3 linked regions of the Lytechinus pictus genome follow. The protein of the gene in region 1 purifies or fractionates together with the protein of each later gene. This does not show direct contact. Links are inferred from orthologs where the notes say so. Each region holds a gene or a part of one and is shown in the gene's direction. Other genes may lie near its edges.

The links.
Region 2: the proteins of histone-lysine N-methyltransferase 2C-like (region 1) and PAX-interacting protein 1-like purify together in Homo sapiens (affinity purification with mass spectrometry; 4 studies listed by BioGRID and IntAct, with this or other methods). This does not show direct contact. The link is inferred for Lytechinus pictus from reciprocal best matches to the Homo sapiens genes KMT2C and PAXIP1.
Region 3: the proteins of histone-lysine N-methyltransferase 2C-like (region 1) and lysine-specific demethylase 6A-like purify together in Homo sapiens (affinity purification with mass spectrometry; 3 studies listed by BioGRID and IntAct, with this or other methods). This does not show direct contact. The link is inferred for Lytechinus pictus from reciprocal best matches to the Homo sapiens genes KMT2C and KDM6A.

Annotation. Positions count from the first base shown.
Region 1 is NC_087247.1:18,253,498-18,263,960, reverse strand, and holds the start of histone-lysine N-methyltransferase 2C-like, read left to right. Parts: upstream 1-6,403; 5' UTR 6,404-6,538; intron 6,539-10,463. UniProt on the Homo sapiens protein: Histone methyltransferase that catalyzes methyl group transfer from S-adenosyl-L-methionine to the epsilon-amino group of 'Lys-4' of histone H3 (H3K4).
Region 2 is NC_087250.1:1,164,907-1,175,117, forward strand, and holds the start of PAX-interacting protein 1-like, read left to right. Parts: upstream 1-5,987; 5' UTR 5,988-6,086; coding exon 6,087-6,182; intron 6,183-10,211.
Region 3 is NC_087260.1:15,816,050-15,826,717, reverse strand, and holds the start of lysine-specific demethylase 6A-like, read left to right. Parts: upstream 1-6,742; 5' UTR 6,743-6,984; intron 6,985-10,668. UniProt on the Homo sapiens protein: Histone demethylase that specifically demethylates 'Lys-27' of histone H3, thereby playing a central role in histone code. Demethylates trimethylated and dimethylated but not monomethylated H3 'Lys-27'.

The DNA of each region.
Region 1 (10,463 bases):
GAGATCAAATTTTTTTGACATTTCATGTATTAGGCCTATAATATGATTATTTAAACAGGAAAAATGAAAATTCAGAGCAGTTTTTATGATCACTAAAAGGGACTTTGTACTGACATGAAAAGGCGTCTGTTAATATCTTCTTTTAGTGACTAATGATATTGCCCAGTACAACAAACATTGGTCCCATGCTCTGGGATAATCTCTATCCAGATTGCCCAGAACAACACATACGGGTCCCAAGTGGGGCCCACATGTGATGTTCTGGGAAATTTCTATTTAGATATTGTCCAGAATATTATGGGACCCACAGGCTGAGGTGATTTCTATTCAGATTGCCAAGAACAAAACATAGGGGGCCAATATGTGTTGTTCTGGGATGATTTCCATCTGGATATTGCCCAGAACAACACACATTGGTCTCATGTGGGGGCATATGTGTTGTTCTGGGATGATTTCCATCTGGATATTGCCCAGAACAACACACACTGGTCTCATGTGGGGGCATATGTGTTGTTCTTGTATGATCTCTATTCAGATTGCCCAGAACGAAACATATGGGGCCCAAATATGTTGTTCTGGGATAATCAATTCAGATTGCCCTGAACAACACATATGGGGTCAACATGTATTGTTCTAGGAAGATTTACATCTGGAGATTTACATCTGGAGATTTACATCTGGAGATTGCCCAGAACAACACATATATCATGTATAGGGCCCAAGTGGGGCCCACATGTGTTTTTTTTTCTGGGATGATTTCTCAGTATATATTGAGATTGCTCAGAAAAACACATATTGGAACCATGTGGGCCCAACATGTGTTATTCTGGGAGGAATTCCATCTGGAGCTTGCCCAGAACAGCACAGATGGGGCCCATGTGAAGCCCAGAGGTGTTTCTCTGGATGTTTTCTGCTCATCAGAATTGCCTGAATAATATATTTGGGACCCATACCTGGGCCCATACCGGGGCCCATATGGGTGGGTCTGGGATAATATCTGTTTGAATCTGGGTCCCATGTGGTATTCATGTGGGGCATACGGGCCCCAGTCAGCCCGGTAAAACCCATATGGGCCTTATTATTATTATTATTATTATTATCATTATTATTATTATTATTATCATCATCATTATTATTATTATTACGTGTCAAACAGTACGTTCCTTCTTCGGATCAGTATAAAATTATGTTCGGCTTACTGTTAATAAGGCATCCTTAAAGTTGTATGCTGAACAGATAGTGACCGGTGACACTTCTTTTTATCACTTTAAGAGAACATAAACTATGCAGAGGCGGGTGTAGTTTTTGCCAATGGGAGTGGGCAGGCAGGGAAAAAAACATTTTATTCACGTTTTCCCTGATCGGCCACTTAAAGTTGATATTTGTTGTTATTTTTCAGGGTGGTCCTAATAATTCCTAAACTAAAGACTTAAGTTTTAAGTACATCTTAGTTTTTTTTCTTACAAATATAATCATGAGGCCTACATCAAAAATGAGAGTACAAAGCGTGAGATCAAATTTTTTTGACATTTCATGTATTAGGCCTATAATATGATTATTTAAACAGGAAAAATGAAAATTCAGAGCAGTTTTTATGATCACTAAAAGGGACTTTGTACTGACATGAAAAGGCGTCTGTTAATATCTTCTTTTAGTGACTAATGATATTGCCCAGTACAACAAACATTGGTCCCATGCTCTGGGATAATCTCTATCCAGATTGCCCAGAACAACACATACGGGTCCCAAGTGGGGCCCACATGTGATGTTCTGGGAAATTTCTATTTAGATATTGTCCAGAATATTATGGGACCCACAGGCTGAGGTGATTTCTATTCAGATTGCCAAGAACAAAACATAGGGGGCCAATATGTGTTGTTCTGGGATGATTTCCATCTGGATATTGCCCAGAACAACACACATTGGTCTCATGTGGGGGCATATGTGTTGTTCTGGGATGATTTCCATCTGGATATTGCCCAGAACAACACACACTGGTCTCATGTGGGGGCATATGTGTTGTTCTTGTATGATCTCTATTCAGATTGCCCAGAACGAAACATATGGGGCCCAAATATGTTGTTCTGGGATAATCAATTCAGATTGCCCTGAACAACACATATGGGGTCAACATGTATTGTTCTAGGAAGATTTACATCTGGAGATTTACATCTGGAGATTTACATCTGGAGATTGCCCAGAACAACACATATATCATGTATAGGGCCCAAGTGGGGCCCACATGTGTTTTTTTTTCTGGGATGATTTCTCAGTATATATTGAGATTGCTCAGAAAAACACATATTGGAACCATGTGGGCCCAACATGTGTTATTCTGGGAGGAATTCCATCTGGAGCTTGCCCAGAACAGCACAGATGGGGCCCATGTGAAGCCCAGAGGTGTTTCTCTGGATGTTTTCTGCTCATCAGAATTGCCTGAATAATATATTTGGGACCCATACCTGGGCCCATACCGGGGCCCATATGGGTGGGTCTGGGATAATATCTGTTTGAATCTGGGTCCCATGTGGTATTCATGTGGGGCATACGGGCCCCAGTCAGCCCGGTAAAACCCATATGGGCCTTATTATTATTATTATTATTATTATTATTATCATTATTATTATTATTATTATCATCATCATTATTATTATTATTACGTGTCAAACAGTACGTTCCTTCTTCGGATCAGTATAAAATTATGTTCGGCTCGCGGTTCGTGTACGTGTTGGATTAAAATGGCTACTCGGTATATATCTATCTATCTATACATATATATATATATAAAAAGTAAAATCAGAGAAACAAAACACCGGGGAAATAGCATAACAAAGTTATAACATTAATTTGGTGCCAGTTCTGTGCATGTCTTCATGAATATGCAATTTTAAAGCTGATATTGTTATGTTCCCATTCTGTATTTTATTATTATGTTTTTTTTTCTTCAAATTTTGTCCACCAAGAATTTTGAAAAATTACTGATTGAATGTGTAATTGCTTGAACTTATTACAAATAGTAATGAATTCAAACATTAGAAATATGAAGGTGTGGACGTAACACCATCAGTCCACCTACATTTATGTACATGACGGAATGTATTTAAGTGTTTTCATAAAATATTGCTCACTTTAAAATTCAATAATTTCGTTATTTGTTTTTACAATATATTGATTAAATTCAAAATTCAATAATTTTGTTATTTATTATCAAATTTTGATGATTTTTTAAAGCTTTTTACTGCATGGGTGAAATTTCAGTGGGTCACTGTCACATTACCCAAAAGGTAAAAACCCTTAGTGATAGAAGTTGTTTCGTAATAACATGGATTATGGCTCTTGGAAAAAAATAATGATAAGTCAATATATATATATTCATGTATGGCTTGCAAAAAACACTAAATTAATTTCCAGACAAATTTAATGTTGAATACGAAGAGAAAAGAAAAGCGAAATAATTAAGACGCAGAAAAGGAATATCACTTAAGATGATTAATACATATCCTATGCTATTACTATGGTAATACAGTTTCTAACACATTCAGAAAACAAATCTTGCATGTCTTTACCCAGGGATTAATATTCGTGCCAACTTATAATATCTATTCTCACGGGCCTAAATCCCGTGGGTGGGGGCATAAATCTTGATCAAAATTTGAGATCCTGTTTCAAAGACTCATTTCCCATTTCTGAATTTGCTAAAAAGATGTTTAAAATATTTTCCCTTTCTTATGTCTTCTTTCTATCCTTCATCTCCGTTTTTGTTTCTTCTTGTTTTTGCCAACCAAAAAATGCCAGATGATTGCCGGCTCTCCCGTCTACGGCAGATCATTAAAGGGGTACTTCGGGCTGAAAATAATTATATCTAAATATAAAGAGTATGACTTTACCGAGTAAAACGCAGAAAATTTCATCAAAATCTGATAACAAGGAACGAAGTTATTTGTCGTCATTCATACATTGGGTTGAAAAGTTTTCAAGTTTATCTAAATCAACCAAACAAAAAACATGTTAACACAGTGTGAAAAAAAATAATTAGACATGATAGGTTTGGGACCCCCATAGAAGCATAACTTGTGAAAGGGCCCCTTACAGCGCGTATCAATAAAAAGTTTACACTTTGGAATAGTCCTGGGTATTGAAAAATATGCAACATGGGGATAATTTTTTTAACGTATATTTTTGAGTTTGGGTCTAATCTATTAAAAAAAATGAAAGTAAACTTTTTGACTGAATATTACCCTTGACTGAGCGAGCAATGTCCATTTTTGTAAAGCTCGCAGAAATCGGTTTGCGCAAGGCATGCAGAAATGCTAATTTTCAAGCCGTGTCAAGGGAAAAAGAGCGAAAACAAACTGACTGTGCAGTACATTTTCTATGCATTTCTTTTGCATTTTAGCAAATTCAAATAAAACAGATACATTTAAACATTTTGTAACAACTTTGCCATGGAAATTAACACTGTAACCCGAGGTAAACACAACCTTTACCTTTTTGGGGGCCAGCTGGATCTGAGGACTTATCTGAGTGTAAACAAAAGTTTATTTCAGACTCGGCACCTCCAGCATTCTTTAACAAAGTTTTATCATTTAAAGTGCATGGGACCACATTTCATGTTTCCTGTACAACTTGTTTCTCCACACTTTTCTCCAGTTTGAAAATGATTAACAAAACGAAAAATCAAGCCTTAGCCATTTCATGTGAACCACTTTTAGGAAATAAATCATTCATACTGCACAAGAAATTCCTCTCAAACTAAGTTACACTTCCCAAAATGTCATATTGAATCATTCAAACACTCATTTCATCATCAAGCCGTCTTATTATGGAATATAGTCAACCTGAACCTCAAAAGATAAACTCCCTCTCAGTTTTTAAGAAATATTTAAAAGATAATATAAAAGTGCAATTTCAGCTTGATTCTCCAATATTAAATATCTCCGATGTCAATTTCAATTATTATAGTCTATGTATGTATACTCCCTCTTTTCTAATGATGTGCGTAGTTAATTATAGTTTTGTTTATATCTGACTTCAACTATTATGTTCTATCATGATATGTATGTATATTTTTCTCATGATAATTTTACTGTGTATAATAAGATATATTTTGATTGGTTTTTAATATGCAGGACCCAAAGGGAGAACAATTTTACGTTGATTGGGCATCCTGTTGAAATATTGTTAATAGATAATTAATTAAATAAATAAATAAATAAATAAACGTATATGGAATTCTACATTATTCAGGGCCAACATTTATCTATTTTTTCCTTATTTGTGGTTGATTTTTTTTTTTTGGGGAGGGGTGTCAGTCCCCAAAGCCCCCATTCTAGAACCGCACCTGCTTTATATACCCAGGAATCCAGGATTTTCCAAAAGGGGGGGGGCAAACTTTTCGGAGGAAAATTTTGACAAGCCCCCCCCCCAAAAAAAAAAAAAAAAAAAAAAAAAACAGGTTTTCAACGACAAATTACAAATTAAGGATATTTCGTACCCGAAAAAATTTGACAAGCAATAAAAAAAAAAGGATTTCAACCACAAATTAAGGGTAAAAAAAGGTATTCAATAGCATTTTTACATTACAACAATATTTGAGTAAGTTGACGGCCAGTCGGAGTTCTCAGGTCTGTATCGACCCCGTGACTATAATAAAAAAAAACCCATCTGTATTATATCAAGAAGCAATTGAACACAAATCATCAGGAGTAACTCTTTGGTCTCATACCATTTTGGCCTTACTGTTGTAAGCAACGACGAACCATCTCGCATATAATAGACTTTATTTTTTATCTCCATATTATATTACAAATGACTTTTCTAGCCTTGCTCAATAGTCGATACCGCCCTTGTTTTGAATGTGGGGGTGGGGCCCTGTGTACTGTATATAGACAGCATGCGTGGTCGCTTCTGCTGTGAACGTCCAGGCCTCAGTATAGAGCATTCAGTGTAGCACATACAGCGAATACTCGTAGTATATTTCACCAGAAAATACCCTTGTCAATGCACCGAAAACCAATCCTGTGAGTATATAAATAGACAAATTTTTCCTCAATAACGACAAAACCATGTTCAGAACAGTCGATGAAAAGATAAATGAAATGAAGATTCCCGAATATGATGCGGCGTTATACCAATTTGAGAAAATTTCTCCAAATGTAGTATTATGAACATATAGTAAAAAGGGTCGCTCCGTTCACAACATAAGATTCATCCGCGGAAGAGCAGAAATATAAAATAGAGCTAATAAATATAAAATATATGATATATACATCCTTTCCTGTATATCTTTTAAATAAATGACACATTAAAATCATATTTATGCCTATTTCTATTCAGTAGAAAAAATTTCCATAAAGATTGGGGATCTACATTTTATCATTTAAATCTCCCTGTTTTGGAGGTCACATAGAGTGAAAAGGCATTCAATATGGCGGCATCATCAGTAGACAAGTAATCGTGATGAAAATATTCAAACCCTTTGTTTCTATTAATGGGCATCAAACCCCGCCTGATATCCACCTGCAAAAGTGCCACCACTGTAAGTTCTTTGATTTTGTTTAAGAATTTGTTGAAAATATTTTTGATATATTGTTGGTTTTGCATGTTCATGCAGGTAAATTCCATCGTTTTAATTAACAAATTACACGTCCGCTTGGCCGGGCTTTGACTGAGTTTGAGCGTGCAGCTAGTTTTTCAGCTTGGCATTCATTCATTGTTTTAACCTCACTCACTAACCTGGAATTCTGGATTGGGTGGATATGATTTAGAATTTGGAAAGCAGGCATACTAAATTATTGTATTTTATATTATATGACTGGAGAATGCAATTACCAGATTGCATTTGGAAACATGGGAAATGGAATAATTAACAGACTTAACTACATTAACAATAACATTCTTGGCAGTGGCTTTGAATTTGAAATGCAAAACCAAAATAATGAAGTACAGTATTGAGCTGAGATTTTACAGATAATAATATGCATATTCGAGCTGAAATTGAAGTGAATGGAGGCAGAGTAGCTTAGCCTTAGTCGGTTAGACTTAGATAGAGCGCATGTTTTGGATAAGATCGTAGATCTCAACGTGAGTCGTGATGACAAGGGTTTGAGTCCCGCTCATGCCGAAACGCGTCTAACAAAAAAATCTGATGCTAGCCTATCATGCCTAAGTATAGCATTGTGTGTTACTAGCATGATTACCACTCATCCACTGTATCCAGTGCAGGTATGAATGCAGTTGGAAAACACTCAGTCCATCGGAAAGGATGCAAATGGTGGTCCTGGGTAGGCCTATAGCCGAGAGTCACAACCTATGCACGTTAAAACCAATATGGCAATACTAGACCTCTAGCCTAGGCTGTAGTACTAGTAGTAGTAGTAGTACACTATTCTTCAAAGCGTAGGGTGTGCACCCGGTGTATTGCACCTGCATGTCCCGGCAAAAAGTCAGGTCAAGTCAATCTTGACGTTTATACCGGTATGTCATAATAATCAATATAATGATTGTGGGCATTAACAGAAAGACAAGACAGACAAGACTAATATGAGAACATGTCCAGCTGATAGAACATGATGATCAACCCTTTTCACATGCTGATCTAGACTCTAATCTATCTACATGTAGCCTATATCTCATATTTTATTTCAACATGATTAGATTAATGAATTCACAGGACTCTGGAGTCCTTCAAAAAAAAAAAAACACTCAAAAGGGCAAATAGTAGTAAGGTAAGCAGGGTTTAATTACAATTTACTTTTCAATGAAATTACTTTTTTTTTCAATTACAGTCAGGCCTACCATTTTGTCAATTACAATTTCAATTACTTTCTATAAAGTCATAAATGATATACAGGATGTATATCATTGTATGTATTCTGTATGAACTAGCAGACGGTACTAGCACCACCTATTTAACAATTCTAAGTTACAGAGAAAGTTAAGAAACTGACAAGATGCAGGTAATACATGTATTATGTAAAGAGCACGGATTTTGCCTATTACATGTAGACCCTCTACACTCTGATGCTGAAGCACTTGATCCATGAAAAACGTCATGAAATTAGATCATAAATTAAGTAAGTTTATTGTAAAGTAAATTGAATGTGATTAAAAGTACCGTAATTGATGTCAATTACTTAAAAAAAAAATTACTTTACCTTTCAAAATTTCAATTACAAAATTACAATTACTCAAAAATTTAATTAATTACATAATTGATCAATTACCTTGTAATTGAGCCCCCTAATGGTAAGGTCCCCTAAGAAAGCACAGTGCCCCTTGTCATTTGTCTGCGCACTTGCCCATCTGCGCGATTCTAGTAAACTAAAGAAGATACGCGATGACCACAAACTGTACACATGCAATACATAGAAGGATGTTCATTAAAAAATTTGACTGTAAATGGTGGAAAATTAATGAATTTCGGGCATTTCATGTGGCGACCTCAAAATGCAGCTGCAGCCATTCCCATCAAAATCCCTGAATCATGTAAAGTGAATGGGTGCGCATACATGGGGCACCATTATTTTGTTCAATCTGAAAATGACTGGCAGAGTTTTTTTTCCTTAAAAAAATATTTTATTTCTTTCAAGTTTGTATGAGATTTTTTGCACACTTATTCATAAAAGTGTCCTACATTCCTTTAGGAATATTATCAACTTAAAATTTTAGTGAAATGATAAAAATTCATGTTATCTTAAGTTAAATAATTCAGGTATGCAGACATTGGGCCCCTCTTATTTATATTACATGTACCTGTTTTTTAAGAAAGTTGGCGCGGCTAGCAAGCCTGCATATATGATAATGCAAGGTCTATTAAAAGTACTCCAATTTCAGGTCAAATTTGCAGATACATGTACATGTATGCTGGAGAGTCAAGCGTCTAAACAATTCAGGGGTTCTCCATAGGCCATTTCTGAGCACTTAAAAATTTAACTTACAACTGTAAGATTAAACATGTTTTCCTTTTTAGTCACGAAAATTCAGTTGATAGTGTTCCTTATATTTTTATTAGTGAGTGTGCAAAAAAGAAAATTTGAGAGAAATATATTTATATGAATTTCTTGGAAAAAACCTTGGCCAATCATTTTAAGATTGAACAAAAAATGATGCGCACCCATTCACTGTACAGTGTACATGTACATACAATTCAGGGAGTTTAATGAGAAAGGCTGCATTTCACAGCCGTCACATGAGATTCCTGAAATTCAATAAATTTCCACTATTTTGAATCAGATTTTTTAATGAATATTTGTCTAGATGTATTGCAGTTGTAAATTTAGACCTGTCTCTCTGTCAGGGATTCATGTACATGTATGCTCCGCTGAGACTGAGGCGGGTCGCGATACGAATATCGTTGATTGGTAATCTTGTGAGTCTTCTTTCAAGGGGAATTTGGGCAGTTGCAGGCATCAAACTGTCATTATTTATTGTGATCTTGGTCATGGAAATTGACATGCAAATGCTTTGTTCTCTTGTTTACGACGACTGAGCTAGCTGAGCTATGATGAGCAGGTTAAGGCGAAAGTATAGGTATCAGTTCACGTTGTGTAGTGTTCTTGTTTACATGTACAATACATGCAGTTAAAACTAACAAAAGATTTAATCCCAAATTTCCCCTCCAGGTATGCACAAAATTGCACCATTTAAAGTCCCAAAATGCAAAAAGTCCCTACCGTGGGAGGGGGGATACCCCCTCCCCCCTTCGTTCGCTTCTCTCCCTCGGGCTTGGTCGCAATGCTCCTCGCTTTAGTATGTCTATTTTTTTTTCAGGATTGAATATCACCCCTGTACATATCTATCGCACTTGTTTACAAGTTCTCTATCCACATGACATTAGAGAATTTGACTATTTTAAAGCATATTGCATGAAACAGACTTTGTATTTTGTAGTTTATTGCCTTTCCATTTCTGATATTGTCTTTCTGGAACTAATCTATAAAACAAACAAAGTTATATGCCATACCTGCATCTCTCTTGTTTTACATCTGATGTCAATGGATTTTCTAAAATAATTTTACTTCTCTTTATTTATTAATTTTTTTTTTCATGGGCACGACCTATAATGATTCAAGTAGCTCCATGCACTTACTGTATCTAGTGATACATGTTGGTACATATTCACCAATAAGGGTACACCTACATGTATGCCTACATGTAGTAGGCCTACTAGAGAGTACTTTCAAATGTTGGTTGTTTTATTAGTCTTTTGAACTATTTACTTTTTTTAATGATTTCTGTTGCATTTAATTGCATATTGATCATAAGATATCAGAAATTTGTATACTCTGTAAAAAAAAAAATGTAAAAGAAGAGGGTAAATTTGATTTTAAAAAATAAGAAATCGAGTAATACATGTAGTGTATGACACTGAGAATTTCATCAATATTATATACATGTAGGAAAGTAGTGCATTTGAACTCCCCTTGGAATCATTTTGTACATCCATGTGATTTCAGGTCTTC
Region 2 (10,211 bases), on another chromosome or scaffold:
TCAAAACTAAATTATCTTTGTCATCCTTTCCTCTCAGAATTCTGCTTATGAAAGGGATGCAGGGTATGGCATACTTTAACTCTTAATTAACATGCCACACCTCATTTATATTAAAAAATTGTAGATTTCCTTTTTATCATAAAAATTCTTGCTTGTGCCATATAAGAAGTTGATCCACAGACAATGAACATTCGGGGACTCGTTTTTTCCAAAGCCTGTATAGCTGGCATTAATTATTTCGACTGACCACAGGCAGGGTTATTGGGTTAATTTCCCTACCCTAACCTCAATGTCATGGAAAAACTATTCTTATGATGATCGACCCCGACTCGGACCTCCTACGATTTAGTATGGAGTGACTATCTTTGAGATTGTCAAATGATAATTACAAGGTACGAAAGAATCGATGTTTCCTATAATACAAGCAGGGGATCCAAGATTTTCCAAAGGGGGGGGGGCAAATTTTTCGGAGAAAAATTTTGAGAAGCAAAAAAAAAAGAAAGAAAAAAAAGGGGTCTTCAGCCACAAATAGAGGATATTTCGTTCCAGGAAAAGTTTGACAAGCCGAAAAAAACATTACATTACAAATTTTTAATTTTGCTTCTCAAGGAGGGGGGGGGGGGGGGGCAAGTGCCTCCTATGCCCCCCCCCCCTGGATCCGCGCCTGAATACAACTAAACATGATTACAATTATAAACGAAGTTCAGCTTCGTATTGGAGATTACATGCCACGTTAGGCCTACTTTTGGCAATAATAGCAATTCTATATATAGAGGTATCTATAACATCCAAAGTAATTTCCCCCTTAATTAACCCATCAAATCTTCCAGCAGAATTATTTTAAAATTAAATTATTCAAACGAAGCATGGGAAGTTAGGAAGCAGCCTTCTAAAAAATAAGTGGTATTCATGACTTAACGGCTGAATAAAATTAAGCAAAAAAAAAAAGAATATTTTTCAAAAAGAGCAGAAGGAATAATGCTTCCCATAACAGCTTAAAGACTGGATCATAAATCTTGTCATCATTATGCAAATTAATGTTAGTTGGGATTTTTTTTTACCAGACGGGGGAAGGTGTTGCATGGCACTCTGCTGCATATCCCACCACCAACATGACCAAGAGGAAGTATGTTTAAGGGTGCCATGCAGGGGCGGATCCGCGATTTTCCAGGGGGCACATTTTTCCGAGGAAAAATTGACAAGCAACAATAAATGATGCGAGCTGAATTTTTTTTTATATTCAGACCAGAAAAAGGGACATTTTAAGGACGGTTCTTAGGAGCAGACGAGCAGACGTATATCTCACCAATCCAAAAATGTGAACATCTGCACGGACTGAAAATGTTTTATATTGAGACCTTAAACGGGGGCAATCACTTCAAGTACTCATGTGTCACTACATAAAACAATATTAACTCGAAGCGTGAGGAAATATATGTATTTGGTGTATCAGCCTACTGACTTGAAAATTTGAATTTTTAGTACATCAGGATTATAAACAGACAAAATAGAGCACCAGAAATGATTTGTATCAATTTATGTATGAATTTGTAGCAATTCATATTTTGTACTTCTTGTTATGAACAAAATGCTGGCAATTGCCAGTGAAGTTCTAATAAATTCAATTCAATTCAATTCATATTTTTACTTACAAAAATGTTATGAAAACATATTTCTTATAACATAATAAATATAATATACAATAATTTCTTCTTCCCCAACTAAGTTTTTCTGTCTTTCTCCCCATTTTCTCCCGTTTTTTCTTCATTTTATTGGCCAGCCGATGGGGGGGGGGGGGGGGGGACGTGCCCCCGTAGCTACGCCACTGATTCAAAGAGTATTAAATACGAAATTTCTGTATAAGGGTCCTATCGACGACTGACGGCCATGGAAAGAACATATAGATAATACGTGTAAAACAATTTCACGAAATATTGGAATTACAAATAAATTTAAATTCTACTTCTCGACTCGTATATTTATATTAAATTTGTACTCTTCTCCGACCCCCCCCCCCCCCGCATTTGAACTTTGGTATTATGGCACGGTGTGTTTGTGCTGATTTTCATTATTTTGAATAGACTTTTACTTTCTCATTATCGGGCACACACGAATGTTTTTATCAAAACTTATTCTATTCTTACGATACACGATCTTTATCTTTATCATGATTATAATCTTGGATCATTCATGTACAACTTTAATAAAACGAACTACCAGATGTGTTTTTTTTCTATGTTTACAAGAAATGAAGAGTTAAGTTGCAAAAGGGGTTAGGTCCACTTTGGACCATTCCGAGAAAAAACATGTTTTTTTTATTCTCACTTACTGTAATACTCTTATGAGAAACTAAATTGTCATGATGTACTACCCTATCATGTGAACATAAAATTGGGTATAAAAGAAATCTACCTGTCTTCATTTTTTCTATGTATTCTTTTAAAAATTGTCATTGTGGACCTAACCCCTTTTGCAAGTGAATCCAATCTATTTTGATTAAAAAAGTGATTTTTCTTTGTCACTTTTATTCATGTTTTCATGTGAATTTCAAATTTTCTTTGTTTTCATCAGATCAACTAAAAATTTAGAGGTTTTGAGACAGAAAACAATAAAATTTATGAACAATGGACCTAACCCCTTTTGACAAATGAACTCTTCAGAAGAGTTTGTTTGCAAAAGGGGTTAGGTCCACTCCAAGAAAATCATTTTTTTTTAAATTCTCCTGCAATAAAATTCTTATGCGAAACTAAGTTTTCATGATTCCTTACCATGAGAACATAAAATTGGGTATAAAAGAAATCTACCTGTCTTCAATTTTTTTATATTCTCGTCCAAAAAAATTTGTGTGGACCTAACCCCTTCTACAACTAAACTGAAATGGACCTAACCCCTTTTGAAAAAAAGTGTTTTTTTCGTTGCCATTTTAGATCATTTTTAATGGGAATTCGAACATTTCTTTGGTATCATCTTATAGAGCTACTAAAAATCTATACATTGAGACAAATAAAAAAAAAAAATCAAATTTGATGAAAATGGACCTAACCCCTTTTGCAAGTGAGCTCTTCAAATATCAATATCCATCACAAGATCTGCTGGACTTTTCCATTTACCTAGAACAAGAACATTATTTACCAACAAACTTTTCATATCCTCTGGCATCAAACTTTATTGGAACTCACTGCAAGCTTTACGAAATAAGCCTATTTACAATTCAAAGTTTCAATAGAACATCAGCGGCGTAACAGGGGTCGGTGGCCAGAGCCAAAAATTTCCCGGTCATATCATGGTATGAACAGGCGTAATGGTGTAATGGGGCGACTATTAATTTTTGAGAAGGCCAGATATTGCGTATCGGGCCAAATTTATCTTTAAAAAAAAGTTGCGAGCGAGCGAAGCGAGCGAGCTAAAATTTTGACCTTTTTAATTCAAAAATCAAATTTTGTGATAGATTTTGACATGATATCCAGTGAATAATATATTTCACTTTTCTCTCTTTAGATTCCTTTTGTGTGGTCTGTACGCCACTGTGAACAGGATTCTTTGCGGCAGTAGCGTGAAGAGTAAAAAAAAAAAAAAAAAAAAAAAAATGAGGGCCGCGCAGTATAGCACATGTGCTAAAAAGCTGCTTTCTATAAGTCCCGAGCGAGCGAAGCGAGCGAGAAAAAAATCACCTTTTCATGAGAATCTAACTTTGAGCTATTTTTTGACATTATAATTATTCAGTAAATAAAATCATATCCTACACTTTTCCTTTGCTTTTCTTTCCTCCTTTTTTTTGTTCTTGTTTGTAGAACTTTTTGGAGCCATGGCCCAACCCTTCCATACGCAGTGCTGTGTGGGTGGGGTCCGGGGCGGAACCCCCCGGAACTTCTTGATATCAAAGCCATTTAAACCTCGCAGATTGCCGCTATTTCAATCAAATCGCGGGCATATACAGAATATAGCTTATACACAACACATTTATTCAACCCAGTTGCGTAATGAACCAAAATATATTTTGAGGGGGCAAAACATAGCAAAGTGGGAAAAATTTGTAAAAAGTCCCCAGCGTGCAAAGCGAGCTGGAAAAAAATTGCCTATTGAAATTAAATTCTAATTATGTGATAGATTTTTCCATTATATTCAGCAAATAACACAGTTCATTGTTTCCATTCATTTCATTTATACGTTGTCTCCTATAATTTCTTTTATTTCCTCTTGGGCGTGGAACCAAGACCCCCCTCCCCGCGCCTGTATGCGAATGATTGAACGTGATTGAACGGGGGGGGGGGGGGGCGTTGTAGAGCCATTCGAAGGTTATAAATGAGAAGCCCCTACTGCGTGGGGTCTGGGGCAAAGCCCCGGGGGAGTGTTTCATCAAAATTTTCATCCGACAAGTTGTCAGATCTGACATCTTTCTCTGATGTTGATTGGCTGAGAGGTACTGTTACTATGGTAACTGTCGGATAAAATTGGACTTGTCGGATAAAACGTCTGACAAGTCCTTTCATGAAACACCCCCCAGGTAGCTTATTTGCATAAAATTTAGCAAGCTTATAGCACAATGTTGTATGCAGTCCATTTTTCTTCCCGCTCTTTAATTTCAATCATCGGCAGCCCGGTCGTGTTATTATTTTTTTTCTTGTCCCTTTTCTTTGTTTTCCAATTTAGCTTTTGATTAATTACATTTTACCTTCGTTTCCCGCTATTTTTTTGCCATTTTGTCATCCTATTTCCCACCATGCTATTGCATTACATTATAGGCCTATTTTGGAATGATTTGTTCTTTCTCAAATGTTCTTCTTTCGTACATTTTCCCGCTTTCCTTCCTTTTCCATTTAAAAAAGAAGTTTTTCTTCGTTTTCTTTTCACTTTTCCCTTTCCCTTTCTTTTTCCTCCTTTCCTTTTCCCCTTTCCTTCCCCTTTCCCTTTCTTTTTTCCTCCTTTTTTCTTTTTCCCGTTTTTCTTTTATTTTCCCGGTGAAATCCGCCAGGGGGGGGGGGGGCAGCTTGCCCCCCTGCCCCCCCGCCTGTTACGCCACTGTAGAACATTTGAAAAAAAATCTCACTAATAATCATACAGTCTACTTAGGATTTTTTTTCTGCTCTTCCATATTCTCCCACTCCGTCTCAATTTATTCCTCTTCTTTTCCCGTTTGTGTCTCTTTTCATTCTATTTACCCGTGTATGCTTATTTTTTTTGTTCTTTTGTTCTTTCGTTTGTTTGTTTTCTTTTACTCATTTTTGGTCCTTTGTTTTATTGTTTTTGTTTTGTCTGTTCTTGTACTATTTTTATGTCTTGTTCTTGTATAGTTTTTGCCATGCCTTGTTTCTTGTACAGTTCTGTTACGTCTTTTTTGTTGTTGTAAAGTTCTGTTTCGTGTGTCCCCTTTTCACTTTTTTTTTGTCATATCTAAGATACTTGTAATATTATCCAGCCTTGTTTATCTTTTACTTGGGAGAACATGACAAAAAAAAAATCATATTTTAAAAGGATCTGGATCTATATTTGATTTCTACAAGAAAGATATGATGATTTGTTATTTGAACTAGTGTTAATAAGCTTATTTCTTAAAGGAAAACTCATACTAACAAACTTTGCTTTTCTAAAGGTTTTTATTTCATTTCATTATGTATTATGATTCGGTTTACTTTGTAATTCTGTTGAAATTTTAAAATGAAATAAATTTGTTATCAATTAAAACCTCAAATGACAAGCTCGGTCACTTTGCTCCCTCTCTTTTGAGTATTTTCCAATAAAGTTTACGCCCCCAGCGAAAAACTGAGTTTCTGGGCGTGGGCACTCACATATTTATGTCATAAATGGGTATTTTGGTGCAATTATTTCACTATATGGAGATTATATTTAATCTGCGAGAAGCAGAAGTTGTACAAAAGAGAAAAGAGAATAATTGACAAAAAAAGAACAAAAAGAAGAAGATTTCTCACCACAAACGTCGCACACAATAGTTTGCGATTTCGATTGATTATGTCCTACCTCGCCTTCCATAGATCATCGGCGCGCCATCTTCATTCCGCGCGAACAAAAACCTAATTTTGTGAGAGTAAGAATGGCGTTTTCTTCTCGAAAATTGAGCTAATTTAGTCATGGAAAATGCGATGGTGGATCCAGAAAATGCTCCTGTGCATTTGGAATTCTTCAAAGATGTCCATTACTACCTCATTGGAACAATTTCAGAAGAGGTAATTTTTACATTATTTCAATTTTCATTGCAGTCCCGTATGTGTCTATCCCCGTTACTACATGTAGGATGGGGGGTCGGGTGTCCGGACACTTTGCATTTTTGAAGCCTTCTTTTTTGTCTTTGGATTACACTAAAAATACGAAATCAATAGTTGTAATCATCTTCTATTTGGTTCTTTATAATATTTCCTGACATTTTGTACTAAAAATTGATAAAACTTCCCTTGTAAATTGTTCCAAATGACTTTCTAAAATTGATCGTCCGGACACACAACCTGTCCGGACACACAACAACTGGGTATATAGTCACTTATTGGGTGATTTCAAGTTCGGTGTTGGGTGTTGGTGTTGGTGTTGAGAGCGTAAAAAGGCCGCTGAACCGAGCTCCAACACCGAGCTGGGTTCAGAGGAATGATACCGATTGCGTTATCGATAGTACATGACGTCACGCCTATGCGCTGCCATGCTAAATCATCTCAACTTCACGCGAGAAGTCTCGATGACGAAAATGAAATCGGAGAGAAATGCATTAAATTCTCATCTTACACTTACAGAATACCATTACCAATGTTTTAATAAATTCAAGAATTCGAAAGAGTGAACATTATTCTTCATCAAAATATATACAACTCAAATGATTTGTACTCATCTGTAAAAACTAATTTTATGGGGATGTTTCATCGTGTTCGCTGCCTCTCCACGAGCTTGAGATTGCCAACACCAACACCAACACCGAACTTGAAATCACGATTTTCCCAATCCCTGGGGGTTGGTGTTGGTGAATGGGGAAATTGCACGTAGATCGTCAACACCAGCCGCAGTGCTGGGTTCAGCAGACGACATTCAAGTTCAACACGAACTGCCGGAAATACGTCATATTTTCCGAGGTCAATCCCAACACCAGCTTGATTTCAAGTACGGTGTTGTGGCTGGTTTTGGTGTTGTCACAACACCAACACCAGATTTCAACACCGTACTTGAAATCACCCATTGTATTACCAGACACTATCATTATTCCGGACGCGCATATTACTGCGTTTGAAAACAATTTCGTACCGTAAGACTTCCGCAGTTCAATTTCACAGAGCAATACATAGAACAAGATTGCAAAAACAAGGCGGAAAAATCCAACTTTAACCTTATTTATCACAAAAATGACAGAAAATGCTTAAAAATAAAATATCATAATCATATAACATAGTTTTGCATTAACAATTTAAATATTTTCTGACGGAAATATGGGCCTGATTTGCCGAATGTCAATCTCGTCCGGCTCCTTCGATCGAATGATGAGGTGTGGTGTATTGTGGGTAATTGTCGACGGCTAGTTCTCAAGGTACCCGTGCGCGAAGGTTTACCGTGAGTCTTCTTCTCCTGGAAACAGTACAGTCCACCGTCTGGTGTATTGTCGTACTGAGTCGAGCCGTCGACGATCGGCAGCGCATCGATAGAACTTGATGAGCGTCACGATACGAACGAGCATAATATTGGAAAGTGCTATGGAAATTGCAGCTAACAAGAAAAAAATAAAATCAGTTATCAAACACGAATTTATTACCAACATCTGCTCAGATTCGATATGAAAAAAGCAAACAAAAACTTAGAATTTATGCATGATGTGATATATGAAGAAAAAATCACACAAATTCTTTCTTACATCGATTATAATGAAGAATATCTTTACCCGTCCTAATAACTGTTTTTCAATTACTTTTTTTCTTTCCAGGGCTCTTTTTGGAGAAACTTTCCAGGGCTACTTTTTCATTTTCCAGGGCTCTTTTTCCACTTTCCAGGGCTACAATTTCTGGAGCTATTTCGCGGCTTTTTTGCGTTTGTGTGTGTGTGTGTGTGTGTAAGGGTGTGTGTGTGTGTGTGCCACATTGAAGGGATGCTGGTCAGCAGTGCAGGGCTGCTCTGCTGCAGGCTCTGCTTTAATAAGATGTAATGTACATGCGATCGCGACGAAGCTTCGAAGCAGCGCGGCGCGAGCTAGCGAGAAGTACGTACCGGTACCATCTCGAATTCATAGGCACATGTACCACATGCACTATTCACGCCCGTAAACAGAGATTCACAGGTAAGTTCTCTTAGCTGACACGATCCTATGATGGACTCGCGTGCGCTGAAATGAGCAATGTTATTGTGCCACTGTATCTTGTATTTGCTTGTGTGACTCTGCGGGCAGCTCCGCGGTGATTTACGTACATATATACGTGATGTTCGCAACTGCAGACGGGCAATGAGTTTGGGATTTTGTAGCACAATTGGTGTGCGCGTAGGAAACAGCTCAAGATTGTAATATAAGCGGTCACACGCAAATGCAAACAAGTACACATTTAAATGCAATATAATGTATAATGTATAATTTAAATGCAATCACGTACGTATGCATGAAATGCTACATAAATATACAGTGTTGACGGGAGCGATTATGAGTTTTGCAGTCGCCCTCGTGTGAATGTTTTTAGCCCTTTTCCGGGGCTCTTTTTGGACTTTCCGGGGCGAATTCGCCCGCCGCCCCCGTGTAATTTTTTGGTTGGTGGAGGGGTATGCGACAAGTGCGAGGCAAAGAAAACGGTTGGTAAATATAAAATGATTTTATCATATTCATAATTTTCATAATATTTGGAATAGCAAGTGCAAATTTTTCTTGATTGTATTAACTCTAGTTGTCATTTTTAAAGCACTGAAATAAAGGTGTCCAGTAATACAATACACTGCCATACATGTAAGTGATTATACATATACCCAGTTCAACTTAGTCTTGAGGACGCAATGATGATGACTTTTAAAATAATGAAATATACTTCTTCATCATTGACTTCTTGAACAGGCCTTCATAGACGTGTAAGAGAACGAAGTAAACAAAGATGGATTTCCCTAGGTTTATCCATCTTTTGAAACCCAAATCACGTGAAGTTTATGAATTTTATTGATTTTTACACCTTCCTATATACGCCCAATGCGTAAGAAGGTTTTAAAAATTATGATATGAAAATGAAGAAAATAAAGGTTTCTTACCTAACTGATGCCGTGTAGACCCCTCGATCAACATGTAAACAACGGAAATACAATAGCGTCGACCCTTGAACCGTTTATGTATGACAGACTTCCGGCTAGCAATGCCGTTCTGACGAATAATTTATAGAAAAAAATTATTATTTTACAAATATTAAAATTCATTACGTAATTATAAATAATTATTAACAAATGGGCTTTTGACCTCAGTGAGACAAAATTTTGGGTGGAAAAAATTATGCTTTTGTTGGTGTTGTTTCTTTTGTTCTTTTGTAAAGCCAGTCTCTAATATGGGAAATTATCTCCCACATTGGAGAGAGTCTCCCATATTGGCCGTGCGCCTCTACTGTTGAACTTTGATTGAAGTGTAAGTTTTATTCTTTGTTTGTCTTTCTGAAAAATGATGATATAAATTACTCTTGTTGATGATTAGGCTAATCCCAACACCAATCAGTTTGGACCATGCTTTGGAATCGACGATATATTCTCATTTACTGCAAGACTCTTTGAAAAATCGTCAGAATGTATCAGGAAATTTGTCATTATCCTCAGAAGATGCCATGAGCCTAATTACATCAGGAGGGCTAAAGATATTCGTTCGACCCAACCCATTCGAAATTTTTCAATTTGATATTGCTGATTGACAAAAATGTATGAATATGATTCAAAATCTAACACTGATTCTAGAAATGGTAACTACTGAACTTCCTTTGCCCAAATTGGGAAGATATATCAATGATTTGGCACTATTTTTTGACTGGCGGAAGAATTGGGGCTATTTTACTGTTTCAGTTGATGAATTTGATCCCATCATAGTTATCTTCATAAATGGCGATTTATTTTTAAAATGAGCTGGCTACGATACCCTTCTCTGGTCAGATATGGAATGTCAGATATATATCCTATCCAAAGGTAGTAAACATTCGACCCTCTAATTTCGCATTTATTTTTTATGAATTTTTGTTAAGTGCCATTTTAACACACAAGTCTATGGGGAATGTTTTACGCGC
Region 3 (10,668 bases), on another chromosome or scaffold:
TTTTTATTGGAAATGAATCAGAACATGGTTAGTTAGCGAATAGTTCTGGCTCAGTCCCTCATTCAAGATATTTTTTGTTTAAATTGATTTTTTTTTCATTAATGATTTCAAAACATGTTTCAATGAAATCAAATTAATCTTTAAAAGAACTACCCAATCTATAGCACAAGAGAGAGAAAAGGGGAGGGTATTTAGGACCCCATTATTGGGTCAAAGAGGGCAAGATAATACAGCTTGATTCATGTATGTACACAAGGCCCGATTTTGACCATGCGATGAGATTATAAACGCAGTCCTTTGATAAATGTGTTTGTATAGGCCTTTGGAAACATGTTATGGTTATGATTGTTGGTATAGAAATGTGTTTCTAAATTGGAGTTCTCCATTTCTTTTAATGAAAAGTGTGACATTAAAAATAAGTTATGTTCAGTTGCAAAACAAGTTGAAGTCTCCAAATTAAACGCATTAGGGCGTTCCAAGGAAATTGAATTGCGATTGAACGCAAATCCACTCCAAATGCGTATTTCATCAAACTTTCTCTATTTTTGGGATGTACGTTTGATTTGAAATTCAGTGCGAGTTTCTTGCAATGCACTATTACTCTTGGTTGCAACTACTTGAGTTTGGCATTGAAGAGGATTATTTTGAGGTTTGACTTCATAGACTACTCCCAATAAATCTTTTAATAGTAGATGATTGATGGCTAGCCACCACATGAGTGTGTGTGGTTTTCGAAATGAATAATTTAAGTACTCCCCATTTGACCTTTGACATCAGTCATTGTGTATTGAATTTTTGCTGGAATACTATTCCATTCACAGTATTATGTGATGTAATAGTAAAGAACAACATAGCCAAGCATGTATGAGAAGCGTTATTGGAGAAATTTAAAGTGCAATGACCCTCATCTCAGCTGCCTAATTGAAGTTAAATTTAAAGCACTTTGCTTTGTGTTATATCTTCAAAATGATTTACTATGAACTACATGTACTGTATATCATTTGATCCAGTTATCACAAAGCGTAGTGATTGATCATGTATGTAATTGATTTTAACAGTTGATATAATGTAGGGTCAATGTAATCAATTGCCAAATTGTATCATATTCAATGTTTAAAAGGACTTTACATTTTACTGTACAGGTGTATGGCTATATGACATATTAAGATATTGTTACTTTTTGTTTTGTTATAACAACTTCATAATGAAAAAAAAAATCACTGATTTTTATTGGAAATTGCTCAAATTCTCTCTCATTTGTTTCCATCATTTATTGAAAGTATAGGCCTACATGTAGCAAATTTATCGGGATGGCCTTCCCTTTAAAATGTTACAAACATTTAATCTTCTTTTGATATAAACGCTTATTGATTTACATAACATTTACATAACATTAGCATTTACATAAGCTACGGAAGTTATATATATATATACTGAATGATTTACACAACATTGACACTTATCATATACATTGTAATTGCCACCCATAGTCACTTCTAACAGAATTAGAGTGCTATTTCAGGTACTAGAAATAGAATGAAGATTTGTGTTTGTGGCTCATGCAATTTTTCATTTGATAGGTTTTCTAAACTCTTGCTAGATTTATTCCATCAGGAGGCTATATATAGGCCTACTTTGTGTAGTACATGTATATTTCCATAATGATATAAAAAGAAACTGGAATAGGGAACCACTGACGAGCGTTGGCTGCATCACATTAAAAAGACGCTATATCACAGATGCATCTAGATTGTTATGCATTATTTTTCTCTGGCTGTCTCCTCCTTTCTCCACCTCTCTCACTCTCATATTTGCTTTTGGTTGTCTTGAAGTATTTCATATCTTTTTGACTCAACAATGATGGGCTGGCGCAATAAAAATGATGATGCTGGAGGCATAATAGTGTTTTACAGTATTCCTCATACATGTAGTTTCTTTCACAAACTAGGTCTAGGTGCGTAGAAAGTAGAATGTCGCCGTTGCAGTATTTTTGATTTGGGTCTGGGTTTTAAAGACTAACATGGATACTCGTTTGTTTGTTACTAGGGATGCAGGGGTCAAGCTTCTACTCGCTGACCCCCTGTTGAAATCCAAGGTCAGGTCAGTTGGTGGGCACCCCCCCTTCCAACATCCAACACAAACATGTAGGCCAACACTCTTTGCTTGCGTATTACTAATGCAGGGGTCGCTGAGCGATCTTGAAAGTTGGGGGTGGGGGGGGGGGGGGGGCGGGCCTGACCAAGAAGAAAAAGCAACAAGTAATTGTAATTTTCATGGTTATGAACATTGTAGAAAAAAAATGTGGGGGGAGGAGGGTCCACTCCTTCTGTAGCCCCTGTAATCAACTGGTAGAAACTTAAAGTAAATTTAACCACTGATAAATCACGTTTAGGGGTTTTGGGGTGCATTAAAAACACCCTAGTAAAATCACAAACTTGAATTGAAAATGAAAAGGCATAGGCCTACACAATATAGTCAATGCAGGCCAGTTTATATACAAGCCTAACCACAGTGCAGATCAACTTGAGTGTACACCAGGGGAAAAAATTACATGGGGGCTAGGGGCGATTTAGCCCCCTAAATACTCAGAACAGCCCTTGAAACTAAAATAAAGGAGCCCAGGAAATCCCCATTCATTGCAATGTTAAAGCTTATCCAACATTGCAGATTTAGGCAGTAAGGTGTGAAAAAGTAGCCCCCGAAAATGAAAATAAAAATTATGTTTCGCCTGATGTACACAGTTCTTATATGAACTGCGAAAAGCCTCATCACAGGATCATGATTGTGATTGCATTGAATAAAAGCATGATAAAATATTAGATTCGTATACAATACTGCTATTGGCTGCATGCTTGAATCTTTTTTTTTTAAACAAAATGTAGGTATTGGAGATGGTGAAAATGGGATTTACAGAGCAATGTATAAATCTTTCACAATTATATAAGTGTGGTAAAGAATGAACCCCTTTGCCAGAATCTCTCATATTGATTGCTTTTGTTATTGTTGAAAATTCTGATACTAATCACACACACCCAAAGAAAATGATAATCACAATTTTTTAACAAGCTCATAAAGTACCCCACTAATATTAACAAATAAAAAAAGAAATGCCATTAAATCATTATTTATTGAGGCAAAAATCTTTTTTTTTCTCTTTGATTTACCTCATATCTGAAAATAGTTTTACGCATTATGAATGAATGAGAAGAAAAATAAAAGATAGCATCAATAAATTATTCTTCCCACGTATTTAAACCATCAAAAATTCATCCAGTCTTTGCCGTCTTGATTTCATTGTTGATGCTTTAAAAGCCCACCTTTACATGTACTTTCTAATGCTTCTAGATTTTGTTCTTTGACGTTAATGATGCAGATATTAATTCTCATACATCAAGGTGCATTCTTCTTGCTTTTGAGCCTTGTTTCGCTGTCTGAATCACCTTTCACTAATGTCTCGTAGGCCGAGTTGAATCTTTTCGTAAAGTGGACCGTGCCTGTTCCATGTGAACTGGTGATTGTATGAAACAGTGCAGAATTTTATTGAAAAGGCATTAAAATAAAAGTAGTGTGCTACCATTTCAAAATGCTTCAGCTAGAATAGTTCATATCCATTTGACTCTATACTGAGATGGACTGTAGAAAAATAGAAAGATAACAAGGTATTCAAATCAATAGATGGATGGATGGATAGATAGATAGAAATAGATCATTAATTAGTAAGATTCTTAAATGAATGTACAGATAGACAACTAATGGATGGATGAATGAATGCATGCATAAATTAAAAGAAAGTAAGACAGAATCAATAAATAAATTGATGAATATATAAATGAATGAATCAATAATACATGATTAGATGAATGAACAGTGAATAGTGATATTTTCAATATACACACTTGACCTTTATAGCCAAATACTACACCACACTAAAAAAGACAACTTTCGATATTAATCTTTACCCTTCTTTACAACGGTCAAGTCCCTCTACAAAAAAAATTAGTTATATCAACAAAACAAATGTATTTTGGACTTTTGGTATTGTTTTTCCTGCATGCTGTGGATGGTCAACATGTTACAGTGCTGTTCAAATGCAGAATAGTGATACTAAAAGATGTATATATATTCTCTTAATTTTATATTTTGAATCTCATAGGTGAACACAGTCCTGATTAAAGGGACTGGTATGTTGATGGCCATTTGCTTTGTGTAGGAAAAGCAAATAGCTCACAGCTTGCTCTCCATTCAATCCAGGTTTCGTTAGGAATGTGTAGTTTCATTTTCAACAAGCCGAGACTACAAAGATGTCAGCTACTGTGTACATCTTGTGGTTTATTCCTTATTTGTCCACTACTTAGACCCCTGTTACATCTGAGAGATTCCCTACCTCGGGCCGGCCCGGGGCCTACCTCGGGTCGGAAAGAAATCAGATGTAAACATCCCAAACCTACCTCGGGCCACCTTTTAGCGAACCTACCCGAGACCACATCCAGAGGTAGTCTCGGGTAGGTATCGGGCCGGCCCCGGTCCACCGATTCGTAGATGTAAACGCACACAAGCTTTCGAACCTATCTCGGTCCGTTCGCCAGCTGTCAAATTACGTCATAGCGCGCGCTATCCTCTCCCCAGCCCCGTCGTTCTTCAAATGTTTTGCGGCATGCGACATGTGAATTGTGATTGATAAAGTCTTTGATTTGAGTGGAAAGAAGGAAGCATTTTAAACGTATCCTTTTCAAGTCGATCATATCTTCAACGACTGCTGGGATCATCAGCATTCTTCCTAAATCTCGGGTAAAGGTAAAGAGTCGTTTCGACTCTCTCTGGAAATGATCGGCACACGTCCCACCCTGTCATTTCTGTGTAGCAGCCGACGAGTGTAACGAAATGTAAACAACTTCAATTAGCGCGCGCAAATTATTCAGAGCCTATAGATCGAGAGCGCCCTTTGGTGTCAGCAATCGGATACTGCTCGAAACCGTACCGATAGGGGATGGAATGAACGCTGTGATGTAAACAGACCACATTTCGGACTCAGTCTGTTCGCGAAGCTAATCCACCAATAATCCAGTCAAGGTTGCAAGTGGACTCGGTCGGGTCTCGGGTAGGAAACTTTCAGATGTAACAGGGGTCATAGACTGCTAAGATGCAGAAGGACTTTGAGCGTCAGTCCCTCTTGCTCTGAGGATATTGACCACTGAGGAGAAGATGAAGTGGCTAGTCTATTTCATACATTCTTTCTGTTTTCCAGCTTGAAATGAAAGTCAGGAATTTGAGTATTCTACTGGCCATTTTCAGTGTGATGTCTTGTAATCTTATGTGGAATGAAGAATCAGTTTCTCTCGTACTTATTTGTACAATTGGAAATAAACATTTGTTTGTTGTAAACTTTTGGTCAACAGTCAACACACACACAAAAAAAATAATAAAAAGGTTAAATTTTTCCCATATGAATTCAATGAATGCTTTCCCTCTCCCAATCCAAAGATACAAAACCTTCAATTGAAGAAGTATTCCCTTGCAAAAAGTAAATTTGGACGTTAAAACAAAGTAACAAACTAAAACAAATAAGCGTCATGCTGAACATTTCATCGAAATTGGATTTTCAAAGTTTTGCTCATATTCATGAAAAATGCATGTAAAGAACTAGCAATCTAATGTACATTCTTTTGCATGTCAGTTGTGACCATATATTCAAATATGTGGGTCAAGTTGGTCACCGCCCTTCGATTTCTCAACCAATCATCTATGAGGCATTGGGTTGTAGTATTTTGTTTCCTGTTGTCTTTCATTGTGTCACTTATGACCTTTTGTTATTGATTTTGGAAAGGTGAACTAAATCTAATGTTGTACTATGTATTGATTCTCAGCTAAGTGGTCTATTGATTGTATCACATAGGACAAAACTAAATAAAATGTCGCTGGGTTCATTTTAAGTTCATAACTACGGAAAGGCCAATGCCCTGAATCACAAGTCCTATGTATAGCTTTTGTTATCTCCAATAAAGACGGGAAGGGGGTAAAGAAGGGGGCATGGGGTGCTTGAAAATTGAGATAGCATTAAAAAAATGACATTTAATTTCAATTTCTAGTATTTAGTCATATTTGGTATATAAACAATGTTTGAGTCAATTCAATAATTGTTATTGAACCTTTTTTTCTTCTTCAGAGAAGAGATGAATCTGGCGAAGTCGAATTCACAATTTAACCCTTGACTCATCTGACTAAGATGTATTTTAAGGATATGAAAGTGAATGATAAGATATTGCGTACGTGAAAAGCTATAGATAAGTCGTTTGTCATTATATTTGTATTTATTTTTGCCTGCTTGTTTCATATAAGCATTTGATCCCTCACATAAAACAGATTGAATGTGTTTTGTATGTAGGTTGAAATTTGAAAGCCAACCATGGAATCCAGCCTCCATAATGATGCAGTTGATACACCGTACATGTATTACTCCTATCCAAATCATAAACAACCCTGGTGGGTGTTTCATAAAGCTGTTCGTAAAGTTACGAACGACTTTACGCATGACTGGAACATGTTCTTAGGTCATAACTCAATTACATAGGGATATGACATCGCACAAGAAAGGAAAACCAGTCGTGCGTAAAGTCATTCGTATCTTACGAACAGCTTTATGAAACACCCACCAGGGTCTAAAAGAGTAGACTAGCGGGTCTGAATTCCATTCTATTGTTGCAGTGCCTTTTTTGTAGAGTGACCCATCTCAAACAACAGGCTTGGCAGACCACAAGGGGATCAATAGGGGGTACACATTCAAGTCAGAAAGGGGGGCTAATTACGCACCCATACCAGAAGAGTGCACATGCAAGGGGTGCGTTTTTACACCCCTCTACCACTTCCTGTTGACCCAGGTGTATTGGAAATATATATTGGACAGTAACTTGTTTCTGTGGAGTGATCTTGGAAAGATATCTGGACTTTATGCTACATTTGGGAGTCAGGAGTTACTAGAATAACTAGGTATGTACTGTATAGGGGGAGTTTGATCTGTTTGGGTCTCTTGCCATCTGCACGTGGTTATTGTGTACAATCTTCGTTTCAGTGTTCATGCCTTTCCGGCTTTACAGGAGGCATACACTGCTACTACATGTACATGTGGGGTAAATAGAGTTGTAGAACCTACTACTAGTCTCCAAACTTCTTTGTGCTCAAACTTTGAAACTTGGTCAAGTTCTATCTACCGATTCACCCACACTTTTGCGCTGGATTATATATTCATTTCACTGAAGGGGCGCATCAAGTTCTCCAGAAGTGTGTATTAAGAGTTAGGCCTATAGTTTTCAGTACTCCGGTACCTGACAATTTTTTATAGGCTGTATAATAGTGCTGTGAGCGCTTGGGCATGTATTTGATACATGTAAGACATAATATAATGTTCATGCCTTTTGTGCTAGTTCTGTCCATTTTTAACAAATTAGTTTGTTATAACATGCATGTAGGCTTTTTCATGTACAATATTGGTATCTCTTCTGTGTATTGTGATCAGGAATTTGCTAGCAACAATAACATACATGTATGTAGATATTGATCTTTCATTGAGCAAGTAAGCTCAAGTTCTGTCCATTTTTAACAAAATAGTTTGTTAATACAACATACATGTAGGCTTTTTCAAGTGCAATAGTGGTATCTCTTGTGTGAATATTGATCAGGAATTTGCTAGATATTGATATTTCTTTGAGCAAGTAAGCTGATGGGTCTGTGTACACCACACCATAAACTACAAAAATACATTCATGTAGGCGTAACTCATTTCCAAACTATTTGTTATTGACACTGACTGAATTAGTCATAGTTTATACAGTCTTATAGTGTCTATTATCAGTTAAAGTGTAACTGATAAAAAACAAATCTTTGTAGAGCTTGCAAGTTTGTTTTGGTAGAACACAAAGGCCCGTATTCTGAACTCGGGTTTAAATTAAACTCTGGTTTAAAGTTGTGGTTTAACTATGGAGAGCCAATTCGGGTACAATCCCTAACAGTACACATCCAATTTATTAACTCATTTGACACTCAAATTGTTCATAATTGTCTGGGAATGATAATTGAAGTAATTTACTTTGTTATGAAAGCAACTGGAAAAAAAAAGTAAACGTAAGAGAAACAGAATTTTGAATTTTTGGCAGAGAGTTAGACTTTGGTCTATTAATAAGTTAAACATGACTTCAGAATACGGGCCCAAAGGATTCTCAAGGAATCAGTTTGCTCTTTCTGAATATGGAAATAAGAATCATCATAATGTCATAATCCCACTCAGCCCTCCCTTGAAAACCAGTCATACATGTATGCACTATTATTTATAACTGAGCTACATGTAAATGTTGAAATTCACTTTGAATTCAAAATTCCATCTATTTTTTTTATGAGTACATGAAGACTTACTTTCTTCTAACTACAGTAGGCCTGTCTGATTGTACTTTTACATTTACACTCAGCTGCTTGGTCAATCTTTCAATTTCTTTTGTGCTGATGATGGCTGATTCTTCATGTGTGGGGATTAGTGGGAATTAAGTTAATTATTTGCTGCATGATTTATTAGATGACTGAATAGACCAATCCACATCTGGGGCCGTTTCATAAATGCAACTGTTGTAACTTTGCCATTATGGCAACTACCATGGCAACAGGGCTCAGCAGCCAATCAAAATCAAGGTTACCATGGTAGTTGCCATAATGACAAAGGTACAACAGTTGCAAGTCCTTTATGAAATGGTGCCCCTGTTCTGTACAGCTGTTTACAGATAGCTGTAAAACAGTGTCTGCGGAAGGGAGACTACTCCCAGAACCAGAGATTACTGGACTGTGTGTAATAGGAATGTCTAGCCAGCCTCACTGGCCTGCTCCAGGGTAGAAAAAAAAAATTGGGTTATTGCATCCACCTGTTTCTTACCCTATCTGACCTTGCACGAGGTCACAGTTAGGCCACTGGTCAATCAGAGAGAATGACCACTGACTGGGGACAAGGTCAGTCTGGTCAGTTGGTGTCTTTACCTTTCACTCTGTGTACAGAGTTGGATAGCTTCACATGTAAGATTAGATGATGCCCAACAAGTGGTCTAACCACAGAGCTCTCCATGGTTTGCAATCACTGTCAGTGCTTACTACCAATCGGAATCGTTGTTGCATACAAATTTTGTTCAAAGCACTGACCAGGAACCAATCAGAATCGTTCTTTTATATTAGCAATCCATCACAGATCTTTAATTTGAGGGCCTGAATGTCATGAAGGCCTACATGTAGTCATGATACCATAGCCTTTTTGTAGGAATTCTTGTTTCTTCATCGTTTTTGAAATGGTTTCAATTTAATTTTAGATTATTTAGTCATTTCTTGTGCTTTCAATCTTTTGGAGGGTTTCTTGAAGGATAAAGGATTAATTAATATGTCCATCAGTATGCAGATACTTTACTTCCGTAATCTTCTGTTATAAAACATGGCTTTTTAAGACTTTATTTGGTAACTTTTATATGTACATGTAGCTTGGTATGATGTCAAGTTTTATTTTAGATTATTAGATCATGTCAAATACCATCAACTTTTTGTAGAGATTTGATATACAAGCTTCGTAAGGTATTATTAAGAATAGAGAATTATTCATGAGCCATGTCCAATTTTTAAATATTCATTCTTTTCTTTTATGAATCAAGTTATCTTTTTTTGTACTAGATTCTTGGTGAGTAAGAAAGCCAAGGATAAGGAGAAAGTCATTGAATAAACATTGGTTCAGAGAAAAAAAAAAAAAAAACATTTTCATAAGTTTTTAGGAGGGATTCCCTTTTTCCGCGGAGAAATTGGCATTGTCTTGGGCAGGCTATCTTTGTTTAGTAAAGCCAGCTAGTCACGTACGCTCCGCTACTATGTACAGAGAGAATGACGTTCTCTCGCTCAGTGACAGCATAGCTAACGACGTCACAGATAATTTATGAGCCAAGCACTCACGTGGAGGAGTGTATAGTTCTGTCTTCTTGTTTCTCCAGCCATCATCCTCTCTTTCTTTCTCTCTCTTACTCTCTCTTCCTCTCATACTCTTGTCCTCTTGATCAACCTCACGAGCCTTCACCGCACGTGTGATATTCTCCATCAGAGTGTGTGCATTCCAAGCATGTGCCTGAATCTGTGTGTGCACTTGTGGATGGGTGTACTGTATACTCGTGTGTTGGCTTGGAACGCTGACAGCCAGCAACCGGTGTGGTATATTAGTCACTGCTTGGCTGTCTCTTGTCCATAAACCATTCTGAATCTTCAGCAGAACAGCTGAGCGTTGTCTGTTGCTACCTACCGGCATTCCAGTTCCAACGCAAAGTTTGTCGTTCGTTCCACGTGTACCGGTACTATCTCTCACGCCTCCCCTTTGTTTATATGGCTCATTGTGATGGTCGTGTGCGTCTTTTTATGTCTATCTCACTCAAGTGCATTTTGAAAGAATTCAAAGACTAAACCGTTTCTTCAAGTCGTACCGTCATGGGTCTCGAATCATTTTGAAATCCCCATTCTGTCATCTATCTAAGAATCTTTGAAAGACTTTGGAGCACCTTAAAGACTTGTTCCTCCAAAAGTTGAGGATTTTTTGTTTTGTTTTGTCGCTGGGATCTGAGTTGAGAAGCTGAGAATGAAGCGAAGAGCTTCTTCAGTCGAGGAGGAGGATGA